5 linked regions of the Mus musculus genome follow. The protein of the gene in region 1 interacts with the protein of each later gene in a pairwise test. Links are inferred from orthologs where the notes say so. Each region holds a gene or a part of one and is shown in the gene's direction. Other genes may lie near its edges.

What was found.
Region 2: the proteins of Fbf1 (region 1) and Ushbp1 interact in binary tests that used the Homo sapiens proteins (3 or more experiments, as listed by UniProt). The two-hybrid records come from large-scale screens. The link is inferred for Mus musculus from reciprocal best matches to the Homo sapiens genes FBF1 and USHBP1.
Region 3: the proteins of Fbf1 (region 1) and Tubgcp4 interact in a two-hybrid assay, tested with the Homo sapiens proteins (2 studies listed by BioGRID and IntAct). The two-hybrid records come from large-scale screens. The link is inferred for Mus musculus from reciprocal best matches to the Homo sapiens genes FBF1 and TUBGCP4.
Region 4: the proteins of Fbf1 (region 1) and Cinp interact in binary tests that used the Homo sapiens proteins (3 or more experiments, as listed by UniProt). The two-hybrid records come from large-scale screens. The link is inferred for Mus musculus from reciprocal best matches to the Homo sapiens genes FBF1 and CINP.
Region 5: the proteins of Fbf1 (region 1) and Accs interact in a two-hybrid assay, tested with the Homo sapiens proteins (2 studies listed by BioGRID and IntAct). The two-hybrid records come from large-scale screens. The link is inferred for Mus musculus from reciprocal best matches to the Homo sapiens genes FBF1 and ACCS.

The regions. Positions count from the first base shown.
Region 1 is NC_000077.6:116,164,785-116,170,518, reverse strand, and holds the start of Fbf1 (fas-binding factor 1), read left to right. Parts: upstream 1-2,340; 5' UTR 2,341-2,928; coding exon of another isoform or gene 2,929-2,967; exon of another isoform or gene 2,968-3,168; intron 3,169-3,290; 5' UTR 3,291-3,386; intron 3,387-4,606; 5' UTR 4,607-4,636; coding exon 4,637-4,687; exon of another isoform or gene 4,688-5,734. UniProt on the Homo sapiens protein: Keratin-binding protein required for epithelial cell polarization. Involved in apical junction complex (AJC) assembly via its interaction with PARD3. Required for ciliogenesis.
Region 2 is NC_000074.6:71,391,483-71,397,351, reverse strand, and holds the start of Ushbp1 (Usher syndrome type-1C protein-binding protein 1), read left to right. Parts: upstream 1-1,550; 5' UTR 1,551-1,638; intron 1,639-1,882; 5' UTR 1,883-1,958; coding exon 1,959-2,012; intron 2,013-2,180; coding exon 2,181-2,302; intron 2,303-2,541; coding exon 2,542-2,977; intron 2,978-4,836; coding exon 4,837-4,962; intron 4,963-5,869.
Region 3 is NC_000068.7:121,168,602-121,174,447, forward strand, and holds the start of Tubgcp4 (gamma-tubulin complex component 4), read left to right. Parts: upstream 1-2,566; 5' UTR 2,567-2,792; coding exon 2,793-2,870; intron 2,871-4,956; coding exon 4,957-5,085; intron 5,086-5,846. Other genes in the region: Zscan29 (zinc finger and SCAN domain-containing protein 29), read right to left, coding at 598-802, 1,209-1,523. UniProt on the Homo sapiens protein: Component of the gamma-tubulin ring complex (gTuRC) which mediates microtubule nucleation.
Region 4 is NC_000078.6:110,885,203-110,891,070, reverse strand, and holds the start of Cinp (cyclin-dependent kinase 2-interacting protein), read left to right. Parts: upstream 1-1,925; 5' UTR 1,926-1,998; coding exon 1,999-2,005; intron 2,006-5,868. UniProt on the Homo sapiens protein: Component of the DNA replication complex, which interacts with two kinases, CDK2 and CDC7, thereby providing a functional and physical link between CDK2 and CDC7 during firing of the origins of replication.
Region 5 is NC_000068.7:93,838,815-93,843,930, reverse strand, and holds part of Accs (1-aminocyclopropane-1-carboxylate synthase-like protein 1), read left to right. Parts: intron 1-942; coding exon 943-1,012; intron 1,013-1,315; coding exon 1,316-1,382; intron 1,383-1,968; coding exon 1,969-2,066; intron 2,067-2,544; coding exon 2,545-2,622; intron 2,623-3,807; coding exon 3,808-3,908; intron 3,909-4,693; coding exon 4,694-4,783; intron 4,784-5,116. UniProt on the Homo sapiens protein: Does not catalyze the synthesis of 1-aminocyclopropane-1-carboxylate but is capable of catalyzing the deamination of L-vinylglycine.

The DNA.
Region 1 (5,734 bases):
CTTCCGAAGGTCCAAAGTTCAAATCCCAGCAACCACATGGTGGCTCACAATCACCCGTAATGAGATCTGATGCCCTCTTCTGTACTGTCAGACAGCTACAGTGTACTTACATTAAATAAATAAATAAATAAATAAATAAATCTTAAAAAAAAAAAAGAAGTCAGAAGGGGAACTACTACAGAATCCAAAAGGCAAGGTTAGTACATTGAGACTTTCTCAGAACTATGGACTTTGATGGATTAGGTCTTGGTTTTAGTGTTGACAGGTGGTGCTGTCTGCTCACTGAATGTTATAGCCTGAATGGTACTTCCATCATGGAGTCAGTTTTGGGGCCTATTAAGTCTGGGGCCCTGTTACAGTTTGGAGGTCTCATTCGAGCTCTATCTTAACTAATCATCTAACCTGTAAGGAAGGCTTCCCAGAGGCCCCATGAAAGGAAAAAAGGATTGCTAGTTCTGTGTCCTTGCCCAGGGGCAGACTTGAGGTCTAGTCTGAGGCTGGGGCCAGGGCCTTGAAGGATTGAGGATTCAGTTTGTGGGAATTTGACTTTTTCTTCCTAAAGAGTGTGAGTTGGGGCTGGTGAGATGGCTCAGTGGGTAAGAGCACCCGACTGCTCTTCCAAAGGTCCAGAGTTCAAATCCCAGCAACCACATGGTGGCTCACAACCATCCGTAACAAGATCTGACTCCCTCTTCTGGAGTGTCTGAAGACAGCTACAGTGTACTTACATATAATAATAAATAAATCTTTAAAAAAAAAAAAAAAAAAAAAAGAGTGTGAGTTATCATTCCCAAGACACTCCTGTGCTTGGTCTGTGGTGTCCCTGAGAGAACCTGTGTCCCTCTTATGTGATGTCCCTGAGAGAACCTGTGTCCCTTTTATGTGATGTCCCTGAGAGAACCTGTGTCCCTTTTATGTGGTGTCCCTGAGAGAACCTGTGTCCCTCTTATGTGATGTCCCTGAGAGAACCTGTGTCCCTTTTATGTGATATCCCTGAGAGAACCTGTGTCCCTCTTATGTTATGTCCCTGAGAGAACCTGTGTCCCTTTTATGTGGTGTCCCTGAGAGAACCTGTGTCCCTTTTAGGCAGCACTGCTTGATTAGCTTCCGGCCGACATCATCCGTGGTATGGTTGCTTTCTCCTGAGTCTGTTCCATTTCCCTCCTACAAACTGTATACAAGATTCTCCCTCCCCTCCTCTTCCACCTCCTCCTCCTCCTCTTCCTCCCCCTTCCTCCTCTTCCTCCTCTTCCTCCCCTCTCCTCCTCCTCCTCTTCCTTCCCCTCCTCCTCCTCCTTTCTCCCCCTCCTCTTCCTCCTCCTCTTCTTCCTCCCCCTCCTCTCCCTCCTCCTCCCCCTCCTTGTCCTCCTCCTCCTCTTCCTTCTCCTCCTCTTCTTCCTTCTTCTCTTCCTCCTCCTCTTCCTTCTCTTCTTCCTCCTCTTCCTTCTTCCTTCTCCTCTCTTTCCTTGTAAGACAGGTGTATTAGCTGATTTTGTGTATAACCTGACACACCCTAGAGTCATCAGAGAGGAAAAAGCATCAGATGAGTAATTGCCTTCATGAGATCCAGCTGTAAAGCATTTTCTCAATTAGTGATCAATGGGGGAGGGCCTAGCCCATGGTGAGTGGTGCCATCCCTGGGCTGGTAGTCTTGGGTTCAAGGCACTAAGTTCTTTTCTATAAGAACACATGAAGTTGGGGAGGAAACAGCTATGGGAAGATTTGGAGCAGGTACAATAGTACAATGGAGGGTGGACTCGATCTAAACATCAGCACATATAAAACAATTTTTTAAAATTAAATTTGTAGAGAGTTGGAGCATCTGTGTTGGCAGAGCACCACCTTGCCTCTGGCTAGAGATTTATTTACTCCTTCTTTGGATTGCACCTAAGAAAGTGTGTTGTGTTAATTCCGAGACACTATTATGTAGCTGGTCTCAACAGCCAGTTTTGACCTAGGAAATTGACAATCTAGGTCTAGCCTAGGTTTCAAACGCTATGATTCTGGGCGTGGCATGTCCACTGTGTGCCTTTGTTGATAGTTTTGGGTCTTCTGACAGAGCAGCTTTGACCTTATGATTGATCAAGAAGAAGATCATGGTCACCAATTAGCCCTCCGAACTTGAGGAACTCCCTTGCACCTAGTCGGGAGATGCTTTCCCCGCGCTTCACGGGAGTGACGTTGAGACAGCTCCTAGCAACTCGCGGAGCATCCAACAGACGCCTTGCCCCCGCTGCGGGGCACGCTGGGAGATGTAGTCCTTCCGGTCAAGTCCTGTGGTTCGGCCCGCTAGTGAACGGGCGACGGACTACAGTTCCTAGAATCCTCCACGCCACCGTCTATTTGAGGCCAGAGGCTGCGAGGTGGGACTGTCGCCGGCGGAGAGGTGGTAGGCCTGGCCGAACGGAGCGCACTGAGTGGAGTCGGAACCCTGGGATCTGGTTGGGCTTGGTTTCCGTGGCCTTGTTTCTGAAAGGACAGCTCTTAACAGGGCCCCTAGGGACTAGGGAGAAGCTCGGCTGTGTCTGGATTCAGACGGGATGGGCGCGCGGGGGATGGAACATTGAGAGGCACAATGCCTGGCCTGGCGCTACACTCCGGGACCCGCTGTGGCTGAGGGGCGGGCTCGCGGATTTTAAAATGCCTTCATGGAGTTGGTTGAATATGTGAAGACGTGACAATATTCTGGAACACTTTGGCCATTACAAGCTGCCCCTAGAAAATGTACCCCCGGCCCTGTCTGGGAAGCTGCGACGGAATGCATAGGAGATAGCAGAAATTCTTTGATGTGATATGAGCGAAAACGCGTTTGGACTTGTAGATCGCTAAAGTTGCCATTGCACAGGAGAAACACAAGCATTCCCCTGTGTCCACAACCCCAGATACACTTTGCATTTTAATAAGAGACTAGGCACACCGAGAAGACAGATGAGCGCCCCAGCTGCCTTTCTTCCTAGGCACGTGAAGGTGGGTTTGGGTGAAGTGTAAGAGACAAAGAGGAGGTAGGAAATGCTGAGAAATTCTGTTCCCTGTATGAAATGTTTATCATATGTGAACTCACTGTCAGGCTTTGTGCTAGATGCAGCCTATAGAGAGTTTCCTGGCAAGGGATTTGAGTCCGGATGTGGTTTCTCTTTCCAAATGGCTCCACTTGTCACCACTTCCAGGGTAAAGGATATGGTCTACTTTTAAAATACTCTCCAAGCCAAGGAAAGGCCGATAAGTGAATAAGGAATCCTCATGTATTCTCTCTCCCTCCCACCCCTCCCCCAATCTGTTTCTTGCGGCAGGAGCTTACCCTAGCCCAAGAATTCACTATATATATCATTCAAGCTGGCCCCTAACTCAGCAATCCTGCTTCAGCCTCCCAAGTGCTGGGATTGCAGGTATGAAGCACTGCCTAACTTTTTCTTCTTTTTAAAATTTTAATTTTATGCGTATGGGTGTTTTGTCTGTGTGTCTGTCTGTGCACCACATGCATGTCTGGGCAATCAAAAAACACATCGATCCATTCATCTGTCCCCGATGGGAGTGACAGTTTGTAAGCCCCTATGGGTACTGGGGATCCAGTCCAGCTCAAATACTCATCTCTGTCTCTTTTGATTTGTTTGTCAGGGTTTTTCGGTGTAGCTCTGGCTGTCCTAGCAGTCACTCTGTAGACCAGGCTGGCCTCAAACCCAGAAATCCACTTGCCTCTGCCTCCTAAGTGCTACCACCTCCAGACTGCTTTTTCTATTACATACCTCAGGTTGGCCTAGAACTTGTGATTTTCCTGCCAAGTTCTAGGGTTGCCGCTAAGTGTGTATGATCATACCCACCTCAGGAATTCTTTTTGAACTTTACTTACTCATCTGGCGTAGTGGAGCACACACGCACATGGAGGTAAAAGGAAGACTTGCAGGAGTCAATTCTCTACCTCCATAATGCGTGTCCTGGGCTATCCAACTCAGATAGGCAGGCCTGCTGGCAATAGCACCTTTACTCACTGAATGGCATTCAATTCAGGAATTCTGGGATTATAGAAATAGGTTTGACCAATTCCTGGCTGTCCTGGAACTTGCGCTGTAAACCAGGCTGGCTTCACGCTCTGAGATCTGCCTGCCTCTACCTCCTGCGTGCTATGATTAAAGGCATGAACCACTGCTACCCTGCTGGGTTTTGATCTCTTAAGTGAAGGATTCTTAAGAGCCTTGGAGCCAAGCACTGGGAAATGCTGAATTCTACCTTTTATTTATGTGTATTTATTTATTTTTGAGACTTGCGTAGCCCAGGTTGGCCCTGAATTTGCTATGTAGCTGAGGATAGCCTTGAGATTCGGGATTTTTTTTTAACCTCTTCCCAAGTCCTGGTATTTCAGCATTATGCTGTGTCCAGATTTTGTTTTTAATTCTATGAATGTGTGTGTGCATGTGGGTGCAGATGCCCATGGGTGCTAGAGGCTTGGATCCCCCTGGACCTGGGGTGCTGGGGGGCTTGTGATCTACCCAACACAGTGCTGGAAACCCAACTCAGGTCCTCTGCAAAACCAGTTTGGGCTCTTGGCTCCTAAGCCGGCCATCGCTCCAGCTTCCATCTTTTAAGCAGTTTCTTTTATTTTCTCTATTAGGGAAGATGAGCTTGCTGGGCAAGAATACACATGACTGGACAGTGCTGTGAGGAGCTGCAGAGAGCCCCGAAGCCCAGGATGGTAGGCAGAGTACAGCACTAGACACATGAAGATAGACACGATGCACCCCACCCCATGCCACCCGACCCTCATCATCCTGGCTGCATAGAATAGAAGCTCTGTGGCAAGGACCAGCGCTGGTCCCATGCCAGGGCAACATTAGGAAAATCAAGCAACTGAGCTGGGCCTTTCATCCTAGAACGTAGAGGCAGAGACAGGCAGGCGGATCTCTTGTGATTCCAGGACAGCCTGTTTTGACGTGGCAAGCTCTGGGCCAGTAGCTACATAGGGAGGACCACCCCCCACCCCCCAAAACAAAATGAAACAAAACAAAACAACCCTGCCAAACCGTTAAGCAATGAGCAAAGTTTCTCTTGAGCCTCAATTTTTGTTGTTTTGTTGAGGCCGGGTCTCACTGTTGCTCTGTCTGGCCTAAAATTGTTATGTAGAAGACCAGGCTGGCCTGGCATTCATAGAAATCCCCCTGCCTCTGAATCCTAAGTGCTGGAATTGAAGACGAGAGCCATGTTGGCCTATATCTTGAGCCTCTGAGTCCTCTGAATTTTGTGCCAGAAACATTTTTTTTCCATTAATTTATTATTCACTTTCTATCCCAAGCCCAGGTACTCCTCCCTCACACAGCCCCTCCTCCTTGAACTCTGAGAAAGGGGAGGTCTTCTGTGGGTACCACCTCATCCTGTCATATCAAGCCACTGCAGGACTAGGCCAGTCCTCTCCCACTGAGGCCAGACAAGGCAGCTCAGTTAGGGGAAGAGGATTCACGGGCAGGCAGTGGATTCAGGGACGGACCTCTGATCCAGTTGTTGGCGGACACTGGTAGTGTTTTTAGACATCCTTCAGACGTCTACACAGAACAGAAGAAAGCATTCTGGTCATTGCGTCTGTCTGGGAGGCTTTTGTGTGTAATATCTGTAACCCAGAGGAGAGGCGTCCGTCCGCAGCTAGACTCTGCTGTAAAGACTGTTTCTGGGTTCTGAGTAAATTGATTTTTTGAAGCTGCAGGAAAACAGAACTGATTTCATCTGTAAGTGCTCCTTCCTCTGGGAG
Region 2 (5,869 bases), on another chromosome or scaffold:
TTACCAACTGAGCCACAAGCACTGTTCCAACTGAACTGCTGTTCATCCTTAGCTTTCCGCTGTTTACACAGGACGAACACCCCAGTTGCCTGGTCACTGGGTATTCGACCCATTAAGGCCTCCAGTGGCTCCCACACCTGGGAGACTTGGTTTGTGGAGCCGAAAAGATACAGTTGAAGTTTCCCAAAACTACTTTTCCCCTGAGGCGGCGCCGGTCCGGTCCCTAGGGAAACACAGGAAGCCCAAGTGACCCTGCGATGGATGCGCGGTTTTAGGGGTGGCATCTCGGGACCTCGAATCCCCCACCCCTAAGTCCTCAAGAAGAACGAACCTGGAGCTACAGCAATCCGGGTCGAAGTTAGACCACGGCGACACAAAGCTCACGCGCGTTCACAGTGCCGCAGGTTCCACTCTGTAGCCTGGGCACCGCGGCCAGTCAATCAGGACTCTAGGAAGCCGCCATCTTCCTGGCCGGAAGTTTGTGCGGCGCTGCCGAGACACCTTCTGGGAAATGTAGTTCAGTGGCCCTCGGGACATGGAAGCTGATAGGCTGAGGCGTTCTGGGGGTGTGGCTTGGAGTGGCTGGAATGGGGCTGAAGATGGGTAATACTGGGAGTGGGTGTGATCTGTGGTGGATAGAAGCAAAATTGGGCGTAATTTGTAGTTCCGGTTTAATCACGCTATGGTTCTCAAGGCTTCTGCTGAAATAGGACAGAAGCCTGAGCTGGGCGGGGCCGTTTGATGATTGACGGGGTAGGACTTGGCTTGGACTTGCCAAAGGCCTTCTCAGTTACTTATGTAACTTAGGTTGGCATTCATTCACTAGTACCTTGATGAGGACTGGTGGTGCACACCTGTCATCCCAACACTCCAGAGACCCGGAGACGAAGATCGGGCGTTTAGACCAGGCTGGGCTAAATGAGACGCTGTATAAAAACTAAAATGTAAAGAAAAAGTAAAGAAGGCAGCAGACACACTGTGGACAAGCTTATTGTTGCCAGTGCCTCCAACCGCCTGATGCAGCAGTTCAGACTCATTGAAGAGAAACGTTGTGGGCTACTGAGCAGGTGCAGGCTCTTGCCACCAATCCTGAGGGGCCTGAGTTCGATCTCGGAGACAAGTAGGACCACCACAGACAAAGATGAGTAAAGCAAAGTAATGAAAAATAAAAGCTGTGCAAATGCTGAAGCCAACTCCTACAGTTTTGGTTTTTTTTTGGTTTTAGAAACACACACACACACACACACACACACACACACACACACACACACACACAAAGACCTTCACATTAGAGCGAGTCCTGGTGAACAGGGGACACAAAAAATCCAAAATGAAAATGGAAGGTTTGGCCTCGGGTAAGGGGATACTGATATCTTTAGAGCGGGACAAAGGTCCTGGTCCTCCATCCTCCTCCCGTTCTGGAGGAAGCCGGCATCCTGGAGAAGGAAACGAAACAATAACTGTCCATGTGATCAGGGTAGGGGGGCTTCCTGTTTCCCAGCCCCTCCCGGGCCACTTTTGGCTATCGCAGCCTCAGTAGCCAGTGGCCAGAATGGCTTGAGATATGCCCTGGATCTCAGGCCTTTCCCAAGGTGCTCTGGAGAAGCAGAGAAGAGCGCAGCAGGGTCAACCCCCAGGGTGAGGGAGTTTGATGCTAAGAGCCGTAGGAAGAAAGAGGATTTTAGGGTCCCTACCCAATGCTTCTATGGGGGGTGGGGCACAGATAAGAGAAACGCCTTCAGACAGCTGAGGGGAGAAGAATGCCCAGTAGAGATGGGGGATGGGGGAGTAAGGAACAAGTAGATAGTTAGTGGGCACTATTGGAGAGGTATATGAATATTTAAATGTGTCAATCGGAGTAGACACCCCAAAAATCCTACAGGAAACAAAAAAACAAAAAACAAGGATTCTAAGGTGACGAAGGCAAGAACTGAAAGCAGACTGTAGTGACAGAGGCAATGAGTGCCCGGGCCACACGGCCCCGAAGCCGTCGAGGGAGGCATCCTCTGCCTGTAAGTGTGCCCCTCTTCCTGCCACACTCAGTCCCATGGATCCTGGGAACCCAGGCCTGCTAGGCTCAGAGCCCGTGGTGGTGTAGGGGAGTCCTCCACAGGTGGAGCTGGATATGATGGCCAAGAGACTGTGTGTGTGTGTTGGGGGGAAACGGGGTTCATTCACAGGGGGAGCTAGACCCTGTAGCTGAGAGCTCAGAGGAAGTAGATGCCAACAATGGACGCTTCGAGACTAAACCTGAGCTGCATCAGGAATACCTTGGTCCTGGCCTTCAGAGCCCAAGGAACTGGTAGGATGCATTTAGTATGTACCCTATATTCTAGCCCAACACCCCAACACCCCCCCTGCACAAAGCTGCCTCCTGCCACTCACCTGCCCATTGCCTCTGCTGCCTGCCTCTCTCCTCTTCCTGTTTATCCTCCAGCCATGCCGCTCATTCCCTACTCTACCTTCCTAGCGACCCTAGGGTTAGCCCTCCAGGTCTCTTCTGAGCCTCAGGTGGCTGGGGTTCCCCCACTATCTTCACAGGATCAAGGAGGGTTGTGATGTGGGATCCCATGCGGTTCTATCCTTGAGCCCAGAAGAACAGTGCGAGCCTGAGGTGGAAGCCCACCAGGTCCTGCAAGAAGCCCCCCTGGATAGTGGCCCTGCTGAGATATCAGTACCCAGTGTGTATGAGACCTTGCAGTGCAGGCTGAGCTCCCTTGAGGCAGTTGTAGCTGCCTTGCGCCACCACTCGCTAAGCTTTCCAAAGTCAGTGGAAGCAGAAGACAGAGACCAGGGGGCTCCGGGGCCCTTTGGTGATGAGAAAGAAGACGCAGGACCTGGACAGCAGGAGGCTGCTCGCCTCATAGAGAGGAACGCCTGGCTGCGGCTAGCCCTGTGCAACCGGGAGGATGAGCTGGCATGCACTCAGGCTTCACTGCAGGACGCCCAGGCAGAGAAGGAGACTCTGCAGAGACAGGTAAGCTGGTGACTGGGGAAGAGGCAGATCCAGCCTTGGGAGCAGACACACTGATGTGGAACAGTGACAGATGTGCCAAGGAAGTGACCAACAGAGACAGCACAGTGAGAGGGAGAGCAAGGAAGACAGGCAGGCTGCACCCCATGATCTTAACACTCAGGAAGTCCAAGAGGGACAGTCTCCACTCAGGTGAGCCCTGGCTAAGACCAACTTTGTTCTCAGCTGTAGACTGAGTCCAAGGCTAGCCTGGATTACAGACCCTACCTATGTCAGTTGCACTACACACACACACAAACACACACACTAATCCTGTCTTGGGGGGTGTTTTTTATTTTTCGTTTTTTCGGATACAGAATTTCTCTGTGTAACAGAGCCCTGGCTGTCCTGAACTTACTAGGGTAGACTAGGGTGGCCTCAAAATCACAGAGATCCACCTGCCTCTGCTTTCCCAGTGCTGGGATTAAAGGTGTGAGCTATGCCAGACTTATTTTAGGGTTTCTATTGCTGTAATAAAACACCTCAACCAAAAGCAACTGGGGAGGAAGAGATTTATTTCATCTTAAGACTCTCAGGCCACACTCCATCACTGAGGGAAGCTCGGGCAGGAACCTCAAGGCATGGAGGGATGCTGCTTACTGGCTTGCTCCCTATGGCTTGCTCAGCCTGCTTTCTTATAGAACCAGGACCAACAGCCCAGGGATGGCACCACCCACAATGGGCTGGCCCCTCCCTCCCCATCAATTGTCAATCAGAAAAGTGTCCACAGGTCCATTTCGGGGAGCATTTTCTCAATTGTGGTCCCTCTTCCAAAATGATTCCAGTTGATGTCAAGTTCACACGAACCACCACAGATCCTGAGATCACTGTGGCTGGAACAGAGTGGGAGAGATGAAGGCGCGTGGGGGAAGGCCACAGTATGCAGGGTGTTGAAAGCTAGTGTGCTCTGGTGTGTGGTGGATTCTGAGGGGAACTGACCTGCTGCAGGCGTTCACTTGTGCCATCTGATGACTGTGAGCGGAACAGTCTGGCGGTGGACCATAATCCTGAAGGTGGAGGAGGGGTGAAGTGGCCCGGGGCGTTTAGTGGAGGTGACCAGAAACCTACAGATTATGGGTGATGTTAAACCCAGATATGGTGGGACAAGCCTGTAATGATAAGGACTTCAGAGGCTCAGATGAGAGGATCACAGTTTAACACTAGCTTTGACGAGATAGGCAAATGTCTCAAAACAAAACTAGGACAAGTAGGGATACAGAATCCTCCAGTCAGGGCTGTGGGCGTGACTGGGGGGGGTAGAGTGACAGCCTAGAATCCTCCAATGAGGGGCTAGGGGCGTGGCTTAGCACAGCTTTCAGAGACTTCTCACAACAACAAAAATGAATTCTCCTGAATGTAGTGGGCACACTTGAAATCTCAACTACTTGGGAGGCTGAAGTGGGGGGTGGCTTCAGTTGGGGAGGTATAAATGACTAAAAATTTAGAAAGGAATAAAGTGGAGAGGGCTGGAGAGTTGTCTCAGCAGTTAAGAGCACTGGCTGCTCTTCCAGAAGACCCAGGTTTGATTCAAAGAATCCAAGTGGCATCTCACAACTGACTCTAGTTCTAAGGGACCTGACACCCTCACACAGACACACATGCAGGGAAAATGCCAATGTATATAAATAAAAAAATTAATCTTAAAAATATAAAAAACGTGGTGATCGTCCTGTGTCCCCCATCACCTTGCCAGTAGCTACACTCCCCTAGTTAGGCCTCTGTGGCAGCTGGGGACCGTTCCAGGCCACATTGACGGGGCTGCTGTTGCTGTAGAGAATTGGTTGAATATGTGAAGCCATGGCCTGATCCCCTATCACTGGCAGGTACAGGAGCTGGAGGATTCCCTGATGCAGATGGAGGCCTCCCCACCTACCCCCATCCTCAGAGCAGGGCGTAGAAACAGCAACTCCAGTACTTCTGGGGCAGAAAGGAGACCCTGGGTACCTCAGGTAAGCCTAAAGTCTTCTGAGTCCAAGTCATGATGTTCCCAGCATTCCCAGTGTGAGTGGTAACCGTCAGTTTGTGCTTTATGGGATGCCATAATATTGTGTGACAAAAAGTTTTCCTGGGGAAACACTACACACATCAACTGACCACAGATGGGGAGCCTGTGGCACATCAAAATATGGACACCACCAATGTCCAATTTGGTGAACCAATGAGTTTTATTGGGGTTACAAATAGGACTAAGGCTATATATTATGGGTATGAATATGGGTACATATAGGATTGTAGTTACATATAGGTTGATGGGCAGAATGATTCAAAGACAGCTGCATCACCAAAGCCTGAGTGACAGCGTGACAGCATGAGTGACAGTGTGAATGATAGCGTGAGTGATAACTCACAAAAGCTGGGGACATAGAGCTCACTACAAAGCCTGCAGGTTGGAGATTGTTCCTTCTTAGTGACTCTGGTCTCACCCTTCTTCAGACAGCTGGTCTGGTCTCAAGGTCTTCTTTGCACACTTGTTTGTTCTCTCATCTCAGAGGGACTTTCCTTACTCTGGCAGGGAGGGGCCTAGTCCATCTGTTTAGTTTCTCAGACTTTCTGAAACTAGAGTTGTTTACCTTCCTGCTTCAGGAGCAAATCTGCAGGATGGAATGTCTCTATCTGGGAGGAAACTGTCCATACAACCTGTAGTATCTGAAAGAACTAAACAGGACTTGGAAACATGGCTCGATGGTTAGGGGTGCTAGCTGTTCTCATAGAGTACTCAGGTTCAGTTCTCTGTACCCACATGGCAGCTCACAATCATCTGCAACTCTTCATTCCAGGAGATCTGATGCCTTCTTCAGGGCTCCACAGGCACCAGGCATGCACATACACAGGCAAACACCCATACACAGAAGATTA
Region 3 (5,846 bases), on another chromosome or scaffold:
CAATAGAGCACAAAAAAGAAAAACAAGTTCTACAAAATGACTAAGTGACTAGATCCAAAGGCACCGGGGAAAGCTAAGAGTCATGGTGTTACCAGGTGAACAAAGACCATTCTGTAGTAATGCTGGGCTATACTGCAGGAGGTTGCAAAATTCTGAAGTAAAATTCTTACATCTTTACAACATCTTGCAAGAATAACACAGATATAATTTCCTTCTCCACAATCAAGTATTTAGAGAACTTCAAGGTTCCAATGTAGAGAATAAGAACTTAGATTTAAAGAATAAAGAACAGAGGGAAAGAAAAACTACTAGAATGAAGGTGTCTTCAGTATAGAAGAGGGTCTAGAAAATAAGCATCTATCACCAGAAATAAAAGTATTCCGATTATAGTGAGAACTAGGCAGACTTATCAAAGGAAGAGATACAAAAATACTTACTCTACCAGAGGGTTGAGCTAGCTGCCTTTCCAGGGTCCTGAAACATCACATTGGGAGGTGCCACACAGGTGCCACTATCCCTGAAACCTTCCCCACTCACTACTCCCAACCCTATTCCCAGCTTAGAGGGCTCTGTCTCCCACACACATCTACTCCTCACCGCTCCTTTGAAAAGGTCTGAGATTCTCCTTTGGGTTCATCTGCTCCTGTAGTCTCAGGGCTGGCCTTCTTGCCCTCTCTTTCTTGGATACACCCTTGGGCTGGGGTTCCACTGACTCCTGCAGAACACTTAATAACTCCTGTGATGATTTCAGGGGTGTCATCTTCTCCGAGTGCATTTCCTGCCCCTTCACAGAGACTGTGACCTAGAAATAACCCCCCGTTAATTGACATGGTCATAACAAGGGGCATTCCCAGGGGGAGACCATCCTCTGAGGCCAGGCCAGAGTGGAGGGTGGGGAGTAGGACAGACAAGTGTTTATTCCGTTATCATCAGCTTAGAGTGGTTGAAACTGCAGAAAGATCAAACAGAAACCCAAATAGCAGCTGGAAAAGAAACTTCCCCCATTTTTTCTCTTAAGAAACTGAAGTGAAAGACTTACTGTAACAGAGTAGGCATCTCCAAGCAAGCCCTACCTGAAAAAGTAACCCTTCCAGATCAGAAGTATCAAAATCACCAAACCTCTTTACATCCGACTGATCTTAAACTGCCCCTCCATCCTTGTCTCTCCCCAGCCACACACTTCTGACTGTATTCCCCCTCCTCCTCACCGAATGTCCAGGTCTTCCAGACTCTCTTTCTAAATCTTCCACCAGTGTCACCGCCTCCTCTCCATTTTCTGGACATTGCTTCTGTACCCAGTTCTGGATCTCCACAGGTAGCACAGTCAGGAATTGCTCTAGCACCAACAATTCTACAATCTGCTCCTTGGTCCGCACCTCCGGCCTTAGCCACCGACAGCAAAGTTCCCATAGTTGGCTGAAAGCCTCCCGGGGCCCAGCCACCTCCTGGTAATGGAATCTTCTGAAGCGCTGTCGTAAGCTTTCAGAGCTTGTGCCATTTCCTCTCCGAGTGGGTTTGGCCATCTTTCACAGCAGAAAGCCGTTTCTCTCCTCACTGTCTGGGTTCTAGGACTTATTACACTATCTTTGCATGCCCTTGGAGAAACACCTGCAGATGAGTCTCTCTGTAAAAAGGAGTTTTATCCTAGAGTAGAGAGAAATGGCGCTATCTGAGGAGAGTATCTTTACATGTTTAAAACCTTGTCAGAGCCGGCCTGACTTTCAATATGCTCGAAGTGGCCTTCTGAGGCAGTACCTTTTCAGGACAGCAAATCAATAGGCAAGGTGAAAATGACCTTTTAAAAACTGCATTTCTAGGTGACGTTTAGAGTATCCCCAGGAAGTTGCAGAGAAAAGAAAAATCTGTCCGCTTCGCTCCCACCTCAGGTAAATCATTAGCGCCCCAGATCAAATCGGTCAAAACGTTTGGCGAACGACAACAAAAAGCCTCTGTCCAGCGAGCGCCGGCTATTCTCCCCTAGAACCACCGCCGTCCTTCCAGAAGCTCCTGGTGTCTGCCCCGCCCCTTGAACACCAAACTACAAATTTCCACCCCGAACCAAAGTCAAGTGCCGAACACTGGGTCTCTTGCTCGCGCCTCCCGAACGAAGTAAGAACTCGGCAAGAGTTCCGGGGCGACAGATGGGGAAGGTCGCGCACCGGGGGAGCCGACTTGGGCTTCTAAATTGAGGTGGACTAGGGGAGAGTTACAGGAGTTGGTGAAGCGAGGAAGCTCGAGGGGCGGCAGTGGTGGGTCTCCTGAGAACGAGGCCGATGCGGGCCGGTGCTGCGAGTCCGTGGGCTTCGAGCACAGCTCCACAGCGGCGGCTGCCAAGTTCCAGCTTTGTTTTCTTCCCTCCGGCCGGGTCACTCTGGGAGACGTCGGCAGTCGGTCAAAATGCCACAGACCCTGCCAAGGCGTCCTGAGGACTCCCGCCGGCCCACCCCAGGCCGCGTCTCTCTCAACCAGCTTCTCAACTCACTCTCATCCCTTCCCCTCCTGGGCTAGCCTCAGTCCCGCTCTCAAGCCGGAAGTCCGAGCGGGCTTCTCCTGGAGCCCAGGACGCATGCGCGACGGCACCGGCGCCTCCTCGCGGCTCCGCGGCGGGAGCGAGGCGGTGGGCGCCTGGGCCGCGCGCACTTCCGGGATGCGGCGCGCGGCTCTGTGGCATCTCCTCTCCCGGTGGACTGCGGGGATTCAGGGCAAGAGATTCCGCTGGGTGTGAGGGGTCGCCCGGAGAGGCGCTGAAAAGAGGAGGTGGTAGATCTAGGGACTCCCGAGCCGCCCTAGAAATGATTCACGAACTGCTCTTGGCCCTGAGTGGGTACCCAGGGTCCATTTTCACCTGGAACAAGCGGAGTGGCCTGCAGGTATGCAGGGGGTCAGAGACGAGTCGCTTGCCGCGCGGCGGGTGCAGCTGAGCCGCAGCGAAGGGGCGGGACCCGGGGAACTCCAACCGACCGGCGCCCGCGAGCGGGGAGAAACCGAGGGCCAACCCTACGGAGCTCCGGCTATGGGGGCCCTGCGGTCCCGCGACTCCTGCTAGAGAACCACTAGGAGTGGATAGAACCACACTTCTTTTCACTGCATATGAATTTGTTGTTAAACTGAATCCCTAAATGTGTAGCTGGAATTAGATGATAGTTATTTGAGGGAAAAGGGGGAGGGATAGGGAACTCTTGCATTGATTCAAATTGAATTTTGAAAGTAGTGGAAATGTATACAAAGCGCTCAAGACACAATACTCAGTAAATTGTGTTGGATGAAAAAAATGAATTTGTAAACATATGGTGTTTCCCTCCTTTCTTCGAAAATTTCTGTACCAGGTGAAGAACTTGAGAGGGGGTTTTTCCTGTAATTAGAAGAGTATAACAGGAATGTACCCGTTAGTTGTTTTCTCTTCCTCTCCCCCTCTGTTCCTTTATCTCCCCCAACCCCCGTGAGAAGCCCAGATATAGCGTGATACTCAATATTTTGCCGAAACTAAATTGGCAACACTGAGTTTAATAGCCAGGCGTAGTGTTTGTGCCTGTAATCCCAGCCTTTGGGAAGTTGAAGCAGGATTATTGGTGTGATTCAAGTCCAGCCTGGGCTTCACTGTGGAACCTTCTCTCAAAAAAGAAAGCAAGAAAAGAAGGGAACAGAGGGCAGAGAAAGGCAAAGAAAAGAATGACAACTACAAATGTGTCTAAGTGTGTTGTGTAAAATGGTATCAGTGACTTCAAGGTGGAGTTGACTTTTTCACAGTAATTAAGCCTAAACTAGAATTTTTTTTTTTAAAACTAGAGTATGTGTCTATGTTGTATGAGTGTGGGCATATATGTCACAGAGTGTATGAAGAGGTCAACTTTATGGAGTCACTTCTCTCTTCCCACATTTGTGTAGGTTTCAGGGATTTAACTCAGGTCTTCAGGTTTGTGTAGCAAATGCCTGACTCTCTGAGCCATTTCACTGATCTTAAACCTAGAACTTTTCTAAAACTCTGTCAACAAGAAGTGTTCAAATTTGATAACTGTACCCAAGGAGCTAAAGGGATCTGCAACCCTATAGGTAGAACAACATTATGAACTAACCAGTACCCCGGAGCTCTTGACTCTTAGCTTCATATGTATCAAAAGATGGCCTAATCGGCCATCACTGGAAAGAGAGGCCCATTGGACTTGCAAATTTTATATGCCCCAGTACAGGGGAATGCCAGGGCCAAAAAGTGGGAGTGGGGGGGTAGGGGGGTTGGGGGGGTATGGGGGGCTTTTGGGATAGCATTGGAAATGTAAATGAGGAAAATACCTAATAAAAATATTTTTAAAAAGTCACAAAAAAATTGATAACTGTAGAAGTGTCATCAGTAATAAAAGACACACATACATATATATTGAATCTGTAACTGTGATTAACACCTGTCATTCATATTATCTGTTATCACAGTTATCTCCACTTTTTACTTCTGAAAACTAAGACATTGAGAGGTGCCATGATGTAACTTGCCTAAGCTTTCAAGCAAAACATAATTTGAAGATATAAGCCAAGGGAGTCTCTGTCCCTGTCTGTTTCTGTCTGTCCTCTCTCCTCTCCTCTCCCCTGATCCCCTCTGTGTAGGTCAGAGGACAACTTGCAAGAATTTCCTACTATGTGAGTCCCAGAACATCTTTCCAGCTCCTATTGTGTGAATTCTTTCTCTAGGGTACCTATTTTAAGAACAAGCAATTACATCTGGATGAGGAACACGACCTTGTAATTGTGTAACAATACCTTGTTAACCAGAATTACCAACCCAGTAACAAGGAAAATTAAAACCATGTAAAACCATGGGCACCTTACGGAAAGGAAATAGAAAAGAGAATAGAAAGCATTTTAAGCTGCAAAGAACCTTGATTGGTGACTAGCAGGCATTAGCTTCCTTTATGACTGGTGACTAGCAGGCATTAGCTTCCTTTATGACTATCCCTCTTCTTTCAGGTTTCCCAGGATTTTCCATTTCTTCACCCCAGTGAGACTAGTGTCCTGAATCGACTCTGCCGGCTTGGCACAGACTACATTCGATTCACTGAGTTCATTGAACAGTATACAGGCCATGTGCAGCAACAGGTGAGATCCTGTTATCTGGATATGGGCTTCTACAGGGCAGGAGTGCTATCAGGCAGTGAATTCACTGGTAAAGCAAGTTAGAAATTTCTGGAATACTCCTGAGTTTATGAATCACTGGAAATGCTCAAGGGAAGGCAAGATCTCTGACTTTTCTTGGGTAACAACAAAAACTCTACTCATGTTCTTACACAGATTTTATGTAATGAGAATTCCTACTTCTCAACTTCTAAAAGAAAGTCCTTTCTTTTGATTTTTTGTTTTTGTTTGTTTGTTTTAAAATGAGCAACAGTAACAACATTTTGTGTTAATGAGTGATGAATGAAGACTCATTCAGGTTTTCTGTAATGCCATAAGAGCAGAATAACATTGGCTGGTTGTAAACCCGTCTGGTCTCATGTCCATCCTATGAACATTTCTCTTTAGGAACTTCAGGATCCTTCTGGTTTTTTTTTTTTTTTTTTTTTTTTTTTGTAACCTCTTCTGGCTGACTACATTGTGTTTTCTAACCTCTGAACACAAGGTTCTGTAACACATCTGGAGCTGAATTCTGTACTTCTGTACTGTTGAGAGCCTGGTTACCCAGATCTCTACCTCCATCATAGCCTTTAGCTAACTGTTAACCATTACTTCCTCATATAAAACGATATGAGAAGCTTTATATGAAGCTGACCAGAGTCACTAGGCTCTTCCCTCCAAAGAATAAATAATAAAGACCACTGAGTCACACTCAGACAAGCCCAGCTACAGAAAAGACTCTCAGT
Region 4 (5,868 bases), on another chromosome or scaffold:
CCATCTCCTAATTTGTTCTTCACCTTTCTAAATTCAAGATCATTGTTGTCGTCTGCTTTCTTCCTCCTCTCCACTAAGTGCCAGCAGCTATTTTGTTTAAATTAGAGGCTACTATGAATGGACTCCGAGCTCTTCAACCCCAAAAGATAACTTCCCTAAGAAAAACTGAAAACCAACCCAATAAGAACCAGTCTTCCATTGAAAAAGACAATGTGGCTACATCAAAACAACTGCTTAGGGCTCTCGGAGAGGTAGCTCAGCCTGTAACACAGGGTATCCCTTCCAGAGGACCAGAGTTCAATTCCCAGCACCCACATGGCAGCTAACTTCCAGGGCATCTGATACCCTCTTCTGACCTCAGTAGGCACTTCACACACGTGGGTACACAAAAACACATGGAGGCAAGACATCCATTCACATAAAACACGATTTTTAAAAGTTACGGGGTGGGGGGGGGGAGTGAACCCCTGAAGGACTTTATTTCATTTTACCCATCCATGATTCCCAAACCAGACGGGATTCTCAGGTTTGAAATCTCAAGAGCTAGACTCCAACCTTCCTGAGGGAGTGACTAGGTGTGAAGTGTAAGCATACACCCCTAGGGCCTGGCCCAGCAACTGGCATGAGGGAAGTCTAGTAAACACTCAATGAATGAACAAACACGGGCTGTAAGTCAGGTTGCAAAAACAAACAAAATGATCACAGGTATATCAGCATTACAGCTGGGTGCGAGTAGGTACAAAAAGTGTAACAGCTTCGAAGACAAGGACTCTCTGGCGATAAGAGACTAGAGCAACTTCATACCTAGGACCTGATTTCCCACAACTCCCTGCTCCAAAAGTTTTCAAAACCTTGGCTGCAAATGATCATTCCAGTCAACGACAAAACGATACACCTCACATGCTGCCAACAAATGGAACAGAAAAATACCTGAATATCGGTGAGAAAGAAAGGAAGCACAAAGGGTAGGAAAGAAAAGTAAAGACGGAGATGGAAAGAAATGGGAAACCAGAGACTTAAGGGACTAGAGGAAAAAGCAGCGAAGCCCACAGAGCCGTGTGGGTGACAGCAGAGACTAACCTTGATCATATTCAGTCAGACCCTGGACGGTCGGCTGTGCATGCATGCACTGACCCATTTAATCCTCCACTATCCCAAGATAAAAACTTATCATTTTACGGATGACGAAACTGAAGCTAGGAAGTTGACACTTGCTCCAGTAAACGGGTAGGAAGGGGAAGCGCAATGACCTGACCCCGAGTCTGACCCAGGGTCACCCCATTCACTGTCCATTCCGCCTCGGGGGCCACACCGGGAGGCATTCGGTATCCATTTAACCAACCCTTACTCAACTCCTACTGGGCGGCCAAGCCAGCGGCAATGTAAGGGATCCAGCTGAGGATCGGGGGGACAGAACAGAACGCAATGTCAATCTCCAGGCTGAGGAGCCTGGAGCCGGCCGCGAGAGGGATGCAGGGTGGGGCAGGAGGGGAGGAGCGAGGGGAGCCGGGACGCCAGGGCGGCCCGGGGCGGTGTGCGAACGCTGCGACGCCCGGTGCTCTGCACAGACTCCGGCTGACAGATGCGCCGCGTGCGGCGGCTGCCAGGGGGACGGCGACGCGGCTGTGGAGACGCTGAGGGGCTGAGACAGGGGAAGGCGGCTCTGCCAGGGGGAGGAAAGGCGAGGGGCGGCGTCGGGGACGTCGGAGGCGTCCGGCACCCGCCCGCGCGCTCCCGAACTCACCTCCCGCGGCAGCCCCTCAGGACACCTCAGCCCCGCCAACCCGGAGGAGGCGGGATGGACTCCGGGCCGCAGGGGCTGCTGGGAGCCTGTTGCCTAGGCAACGGGTTAGGCCTCAGAGAGTAGCAGTGACTCCGCGGAGGGCTAGAGCGGCAGAGCCACAAGTGTGGGCGGGCCCAAGGACGGAAGTGACGTCACTTCCTCAGTTCGCAGGCGGGTTTTTGGGTCTTCTCAGGAATCTACCTGTGGGCCGCCGCATGGAAGGTGCGTGACAGTGCTGTGTTTCCCTAGTTGTGGGGGCTGCAGGTCGTGGACGTGGTCATGAGGGGTGGGAGGGTGGGTGGGGGAGGTCATGAGTCCGCGCGCGACGTGACATGCAGGGCGCGCCTGGACCTCGTGGGCTGCCGGGAGCCTTGTTCATTACGGTGTGAGTGTCGTCTGAGTGCGGTGATGTGCGTGAAGTGTCAGTGGTGTGACGCTCAGAGCATCCCTGAGCACATTGGAGCCAAGCCTGACGTGCCAGCCCCTCGGAGAACCCTTCCCTAAACTCCGGCATTCAGTAAGACGGGCCGTGGAGCTTGCAGTGTGTAATAAAGGCTGTCTCTGTCGGTTCGTGTCGCATGGGTCAGTGCGTTAGCGTATGGCTTGCTGAGTCCCGTTTTGCTTTGGTAGCTTACAAGAGGTAAGCAGCTAAACTGCTGTGCCTCTCTCTCTACCAGCTGCCCTGCGACTCACATTACTGACATCTCCCCATTTGTCTCTGAGTGTCTAGAAGTCAGAGCTGTGCTTTTGGTTCCTAAGTGGGTCCGGCAAACTTAGTCAGCCGTGATCCTCACCCTTAGGGACCCCTACCGAAGAAGGACGAATGTAATGCAGGAGGTGAGAGCAGTTCCTCCATGGAGCCCGTTTGATTCTCAATCAGCTGTGTGTGCAAGTTATGGGAGGGAACAAGACATAACTCCTACTGTGGTTGAACTCAGTCCTGCGGAGAAAATAGAATTAAGAAATAGAAGAAATTGACTCACTAGGGGATGTGATGACAGCCAACGAATAGGAGATAATATGTCTACTGCAGTGACTCGTAATGCAACCAGGGGTGGAAGTGGGGGCGGCGGCGGCGGGGGTTGGGGGGGGAGAGTCCAGGAAGACTTCTTGATGGAAATAACTGTTCAACTTGCTTCCTGTTGCCATGGTAAAATACCGTCACCAAAAAGCATCTTGGGAAGGAAAGGGTTTATTTGTCTTACCCTTCCAGGTCCCAATCCATCTATGAAGGAACTCGGTAGGAACCCAAGCAGAACCAGAGGCAGGAGCCATGAAGAATAGCTGCTTACTGGCTTGCTTTTTCCTAGGATTTTCTTCTCCGTGTATAATACCTACATTTATGTAAACGTACCATGTGTCAGCTGTATCCACAGGGGCCAGAAGAGGACATGGTATCTTCTGGAATAGGAATCTCAGCTGATTGTAAGCCTCTTTTGGGTGCTAGGTCCGCAGAGCCATCTCCAGCCCCTCAGATCGTTTCTTACACAGCCCAGGACCAATTGCCCAAGGGCTGCGGCACCACAGAGAGTTAGGCCCTTGTACATCATTCACCATGCAGACATCCTCACGAACAGTTGTTACACTGTGGTTCTCTCTTCCCAGGTTGACCAAGTTAACCACAAAAGTAACCAGGACAATGACTTCCCTTTTTGCATTTAACTATTGCAAATATATTTATTGCAACTTACAGATAAGTTAGCAATTATATACAAGTAGAATTTTAGCTATAAATTCTGGTTGCGTTTAAATTTGGAAGTCAGAAGAAGAGAGTCTCAAAATAGTATAGTCTCCTAAAGAAGGTTTTGTTAAATTACAGAAAAATAAAACTGGAAGCTGAAGATTTTTTGGCTCGGTTCTAGAGCATTGGAATTTAGATCTCCACATGACACTGGGCAGCTCTCAAACACCTGTAACTCCAGCTCCAGGCCACCAGTCACCCTTCTGGCCTCAGCAGCCACTCCCACACATTCACACACATAAAAACAGATCTTTAAAAATGAAATCTGCCCCGGAAGCTCTTAGGGAGTAGCACTAATGGGTGTGAGTTTGTTGGAGGACATGTCACAGTGGGTGGGCTTTAAGGTTTCAGATAGTCAAGCCAGACCCAATGTCTCTTTCTGCTGCCTGCTGAACTAATTGTAGAACTCTCAGCTAACTTCTCCAGCACCAGGTCTGCCTGCCATGCTTCCCACCATTAGGATAATCGATTATACCTGTGAACTGTAAGCCAGCCCCAATTAAATGTTGTCCTTTATAAGGGTTGCTATGGTCCTTGGCATCTCTTTACAGCAATAAAACCCTAACAACAAAAAAAATAGGGGGGCAGAGGCAGGTGGATTTCTGAGTTCGAGGCCAGCCTGGTCTACAGAGTGAGTTCCAGAACAGCCAGGGCTACATAGAGAAACCCTATTTCGAAGAACTAACTAACTAAATAAATAATCTGATCATTTAGATGTGAAGATACAATTAAAAGTTATATTTCATGTCTTAAAGGTGGACATTGTACCTGTGTGTGCAAGCCTTTCATGTGTTGCTGCGTTGACACTTTTACCATATGGAATTTAACATATGGAATCCTCCACTAAAAACCCAAAGAATTTTCTTTCCTTAAAGGCTGGCTGCCTGGCTTTCTTTCTTTCAAGTGAGGGGATGTTTAACAATTAAGATTGAAATGAAAAGTGAAAAGAATTCTGTTATTATCCTCTAGTGTCCAATGTCCTCATCACTGCCTCCTCCTTCCTATAGGAGGGTAGAACATATTTACATCATGTATTTATTTTAATTAGCTTACAAAGTAGGTTTCTTTATGGCGTTTTGCTCGGGGCCCTCTTCTGACCCCACCCCCCTTCTCTGTGCCATCTGCACTCAGACGCTCTCATCCCCAGGGACCCCTTCCACTCTCTATCACAGGTGACCAAGTGTTTACCCATTTGGTAGTGAGGGTGGACCATGAGACGAGACCCCGAGCTGCTCCAGGTCACTGCCTGCTCTTTGCTGTGCTTGAAGTGGCCTGTGTGGCCTATGGCTCTAGCCATGTGAGCCCTGGTTTGCTGTGTCTCTGAGCCTCTTCATGCTGGGTTTGTCCTGTTTCTTGTAGTCACCAAGTTCATGGTCACTCACATAAGACCCATGCTGACCCTCTTTCCCTGGCTTATTTATACCTCAGCTCAGAGGTTCATGCTGACACAAAACCCCATTTTGTTTTTTATTTATGTTAATCCTACTACGGAGCCCACATTAGCCTCTTTTTTTTTTTTTTAAAGGCAGTTCTAACTGAAACCCAGAACTCAGTGGTTGGCTGACCTAGAGCAATCTTCTTGCCTTAGTCTGGGATTAAAGCCTTTGCCAAGACTCCTGGCTTTCTGTTCCCTTTTTTACATAGTACTATGGTCTGGACTGGTTAAGACAATTTACTTGTATATTATTTGACTCTTTTGGAGTAAGTGCCGTGGGAAAAGGTCCTGGCTCTCATTCATTCACTTCCTCCCCCATGCCTGACCTGTTGAAAGTAGCCAACCAGGATTTGTTAGTTGTTTGAATAAAGAATGAATGAAGGGCTGGTGAGATGGCTCAGTGGGTAAGAGCACCCGACTGCTCTTCCGAAGGTCCGAAGTTCAAATCCCAGCAACCACATGGTGGCTCACAACCATCTGTAATGAGATCTGACTCCCTCTTCTGGAGGGTCTGAAGACAGCTACAGTGTACTTACATGTAATAAATAAATCTTTAAAAAAAAAAAAAAGAATGAATGAAAAACATCAAGCCAAGCTAGTGGCTATGCTTGGTTACACAGGCTGCCATCCAAGCTACCTGGGAGGCTGAGGCAGGAAGAAAGTTCAAAGGCTGTCTGGGCTGTAAAATAGGTTCTGCCTGCCAGAGCAACTTAATGAGACCATCTCACAGTAACATGGGCCTGGGATGTTCCCCAGTGGAGCATGCACAGGGCCATAGGCTCAGTCCCCAATACCATCCACGCAAACCAAAGAAGAACAGAGCCCTAAAGAAACTAACAGGGTGAGTGAGTGCACACACGTATAGTCATCATGACCCACGCTGGGACATTAAAGCAGTACTGGGCAGAG
Region 5 (5,116 bases), on another chromosome or scaffold:
GCTCTGTCCCCAGAACTCCCATCTTGGTTCCTGTGACCCTAAGTCTGTGGCAAGTGAGGAGGCTGCCCTTGCTTTTCCAGGAGCTTTAGAGATGACAAGGGAGCTGACTGGGGCCCCCTCTCAATGGTTTGATGGGTCAGGGAATGGTACCAACTGTGCTGTGTACTGATTTTTTTTTTTAAAGATTTATTTATTTATATGTAAGTACACTGTAGCTGTCTTCAGACACTCCAGAAGAGGGCGTCAGATCTCATTACAGATGGTTGTGAGCCACCATGTGGTTGCTGGGATTCGAACTCCGGACCTTCAGAAGAGCAGTCGGGTGCTCTTACCCACTGAGCCATCTCACCAGCTCTGTACTGATTATTTACTAAGAGTCAGGCACTGTTCTAAGGGATTCGTGGTCCAGCAGGACCTGACCCAAGATGTGTCCCAAAGCTCACATTCTTAGAACAAGGTCATCAAGATGGTGAGCTCTGGGGCAGGCCACTGGGCTTGAGTAAGGACTCTGCCACTTACTAGCAAGGGAGTCAATTCCTTCAGATTCCCTCAGTTTCTTTATCTGCAAATGGTGATGATAGTAATCACAGTCACCATGAAACAGTCTCTGAATAACATTTGTGTGGTGTTGAAGCTCAGTAAGAGCCATGGTAACAGCTCCTGTCATAATAATGTTAATTATTATCATTATCAGCTAGATGTATAGAGTGTTTATCTCTTCCCCCACAGTCTCCTGATTAGGTGAGGTTGGGTGACCTAGACCAGAATACTTTGTGGCTGGGTGGGGGAGGGTATGCTGAAGTGGAGATAAATGTCTGCTACTTTGGGAAGGGAGGATGGGGCAGTGGTAGCCAGCCACCTACAGGCTCCCAGAGGGGCTCTGGAGTAGACTGGGCTGAGGATGCTCTGACAGTATTGTATTTTGTTGGTTTGTTCTTCTAGCCTCCGGGAAGAAGTGGCAAAGTTCTTGTCTTTCTATTGTAAGAGCCCGGCACCCCTGAAACCAGAGAATGTGAGTCCTACCTTTCCTAGGGGTGAGCAGTGTCAGGAAGGGCACTTGGGGTCTGCCTGCCTCTAAGTTTTACTTCCCAACCCCGTTATGCTGTGATCCTTTTGACTTCCCCACCTTTGAGAGAGATCCTGGGAGTGATCAGTTCCATCGATCATTCCCTTAATCAAGAGCAAGGTGCCCAGAAATCAGCTTGGCTGGGAACCAATTGAGGCCTTTGTCAGGGTAGATCCCCAGAGCACTTTCCATGGCCCTTGTTCTTCTCTGTCTCCTGACAGAGGCATTCTTGTCTCCTGTCACACGTAGGTGGTTGTTCTGAATGGCTGTGCCTCTCTCTTTTCCGCTCTGGCCACAGTGCTGTGTGAGGCAGGGGGTAAGCGGACGCCATGCCTTACTCCCTCAGTTTTTGCCAGGGCTGTGCTAGGCTGTGACCACGGTTGTCTGGCTGGGGTACTGAGGGTGGAAGCCAGGGTTTCACGTATGCAAGGCAAGCCCTCTACCTACCGAGCCACACCCCTGGTCTTAGGAATTTTGAACTATGACAGATTCTCTGGCAAGTGCTGTGTGATGGGGTATTTTCATGCAATGCTGGGCAGTGGCAGTGAGCTCCCCCACTCTACCTGCAAGCAGCCGTGAGATTTTGAGTCAACACCAATACTCTGCCCTGTTATGGGCTGCTAGGATATTCAGGAGATTAGGAGGGCCACATACATTTTTATATAATTTCACCTTATAGTGGGTTAGTCTGGATGTGACCCCATTATAAGTGAAGGAGCATCTATACTAGAAAAAGCCTGATCTTGGGGAACCAAGCTTTAAGATTTGGGGAACTGAGAGCAAGAATATGCCCCAAATGTTTCCCAGAGATGATAGAGGCTAGGAAGGGTGGTGGTGGTGTACATGACAGGGTCTGTAGCATCCAAGCCAGAGGCCAATAGGTTGTCTGCCCCTGCTCCTAGAGGCTCTCTTGATCCCCACACCTTACTACGGAGCCATCACTCAGCACATCTATCTCTATGGCAACGTCCGACTGGCTTATGTCTACCTAGACAGCAAGGTAAGAGTGCCGGCATTTGAGTTTTCCTGTAGGCAAGGGTTTCCTGGTTCTGAATCTGTGGGTGGGTGTGAAGGGAGCCTGTGTTAGGGATTTTGGGGTTGCTCTGAAACAGTAGTGGTGCCTTCTGTTGTTGCATGGACACCTCTGCCTGGGTTCTCTGGAAGTTCCAAGCTACAGGTTCTAAGATCCTGGATTCATGGAGAAGCCAAGGATCAGACCCATAAATGAGAGGGTGGAAAGGGGATGTTTAAACCTTGGAAGTCCTGAGAGCCAATCAGAGAAGCCTCGCTGCCTCTGCCAGAAACCTAAGAGATAAGGGTGGGGTGGAAGGCAGGAAAGGGAAGCAGTCCTTCCTGTTTTTCAGAGATTGTGCCCAAGAGGCTGGGGATGACAGGGAAAGAGAGTCCCAAGAGTTCAAGTTTGGGGTTGGGGCCATGTCACTGAATTTGGCTCCTGACTTTGGTGGGTCTTTCCCCAGGTAACTGGATTGAATACACGCCCCTTCCAGCTCACCGTAGAGAAGCTGGAGATGGTCCTGCAAGGAGTCAGTTCTGAGGTTGGAGATTCAGTCAAATCCAGCACTGGGAGTGGGTGGGTTTCAGCAGGTGCTAGACCCTTCATCTCCTGGGAATTGGGCTTGTAACATTGATAGGGACATATGGGGGGTGGATTATGGAACCATCCTGGGACTGGGGGTCAGGCAGAATCCTGTATCTATGGAGGGCCTTCGCATTAGAAAAAGACCTTGAAACCACAGTATACAGAGAACCAGGGAATTTCATCAGAAATTTCCCCCTCACAATAAAGGGTAGCAGGAGGTGGTGGGATAGGATCATAATTAATTTTACATGTGCAGGAAAATGTCAGGAGTGAAGCCCGTTATTGTTTTTCATGAATGAATGTGCCTTAGTTACTGTTCTATTGCTGTGAAGAGACACCATGGCCAGGGTAACTCATAAAATAAAGCATTTGATTGGGGTATGCTTACAGTTTTACAGGGTTAGTCGATTATCATCATGGCAGGAAGCAGACAGGCATGGTTACTGGAGAAGTAGCTGAGAGCTTTTCATTCTGGTCTGCAGAGAGACACTAGGCTTTGGAAGCCTCAAAACCCACCCAACAAGGCCACACCTCCCCCATCCTTCCCAAACAGTTCCACTTAAGACCAAGCATTCAAACATATGAACCTATGGGAGGTGGGGGTGGGATTCTAATTGAAACCACCACAGCATGCTAATTAAAAAGAATACTCTGCCTACTCTAGTCCTTTGTTTCTGCTTCAGGGTCAAATATGGATCATAAGAGTTTATAGTTTAGTGAGTCTCTCTGGCAAATTGAGGGGTGATCCTGTTCTTTTTGAGGGGCTCCTTAAGAAAGGCAGAGACCTAAGTTCCCACGTTTGCTTTCTGCCCATGTCCAGCATCCGTGCACTTCACTGCATTTACTGTTGCCATTCATGCTGTCAAGTGCTCAGTGCAGGCGCCGTGAAAGTTCTCAGTTCCTCCAACACGAGCAGCCTCTCTGCTGGCAGCTGGCATGCTTCCCTGCTCCCTGCTTGCTCTCTTTCCATAGCTGGGATGGCCCAGCAGATGTCAGTCTGGGACCTACTCATTTGCTTCTTGTTGGGTCAGGAGCCTGTCTCTGCCATGCGTTCCTGGGCAGCTATCAGCCTCATCCAGTGAGACTGTAAGGCTCTGGAGTGGTGGTGGGGGACACTGAAACACCCCCTGGATGGTTTCAGGGTGTCAAGGTCAAAGGCCTTATCCTCATCAACCCCCAAAACCCTCTGGGTGACGTCTACTCCCCGGAAGAGCTGCAGGACTTTCTGAGATTTGCCATGAGGTGAGTTCTGCCTACCCCACAAAGTGGGCAGACAGAGTCCTGATGTGGCCTGGGGCAAGTCCTTAGACCCCTGTGGGCTGCTACCTGCTGTGGTGTCTCCCTGTCTTCTTAAAAACATTACCAGCTGTAATGCTCTAGAGCCAGGCGCCATGCTGAACACTTTATTATTTATGCACTTAGGTATTTATTTACTTATTTATGTGTTTAACTGTGTTCACGTGTGTATAAATGTGGAAGGTAGCAGAGACATGCCTCAGATGCTCTGTTTTTTGAGAAAGGATTTCACTGGTCTAGAGCTTGTCAAGTAGGAGAGGCTATCTGGCCGGTGAACCCCAGGGCTCTCGGTGTCAGACTTGGGCCCTTCATGTTTGCAAGACAGCTCTTTACTGACCAGACCATCTTCCCAGCTGAGCCTTTCTGTGTTGTGTCTGTGGTCCGACTCACAGCAGCCCCAAGAAAAAGGAACACTTATCATTCCTGCTTGACAGAGCCTCAGAGTGGTCCAATCAGGAGCGGGAGCAGACATGAGTCTGAGTCTCTTTGTCTCCAGCCCACCATGGAGGACCCCAAGGGTGCCTCCTTTTCCCTGCAGTGATTCGAAAGCTCCAGGGTCCTCTGCTTTATGTGTGCAGCCTCCCATTTGTGAAAATATAGACCAAAGTGTGCAAGCAGTTTGGTAGCCCCGAGCTACACTGTGGCCCCCTCCCCTGGGTTTCTGGTGTACTGCTCCCCAACGCTAAATGACATACTTTGGCTCTCTCCTTCCCATTACCTACCCACTCCAGGCACAAGCTGCACGTGATCATGGATGAGGTTTACATGCTCTCTGTGTTTGAAGAGTCCCTTGGCTACCGCAGTGTCCTCAGCCTGGAGAGGTGAGGCTCCCGCTGCAGCTGATTCTACCAATCCCTGGACTGCCTCATGGTTTCCCAGCCTCTATCTGGGTCAGCTCACAGGGCCTGTCTTGACCCAAGGTGGTTCTATTAATATCTGTTTGCTCTCACTGGTCCTCAGGCTAGGGTCAGGTAGGTAGACCAGGTTTATTCTATGGCATTCCCAAGAGCTCCAAGGGGGATGAAGGGGGCTTGGTATTCTTTGAAGGAATATTTGATATATGGGAAACTGGACTCTTGTTTCCTTGGTACTTAGAGTAGCTCCATTTTCATCTACCCATCAGTCTATCTGTCCATCTACTCACCCATCCATCT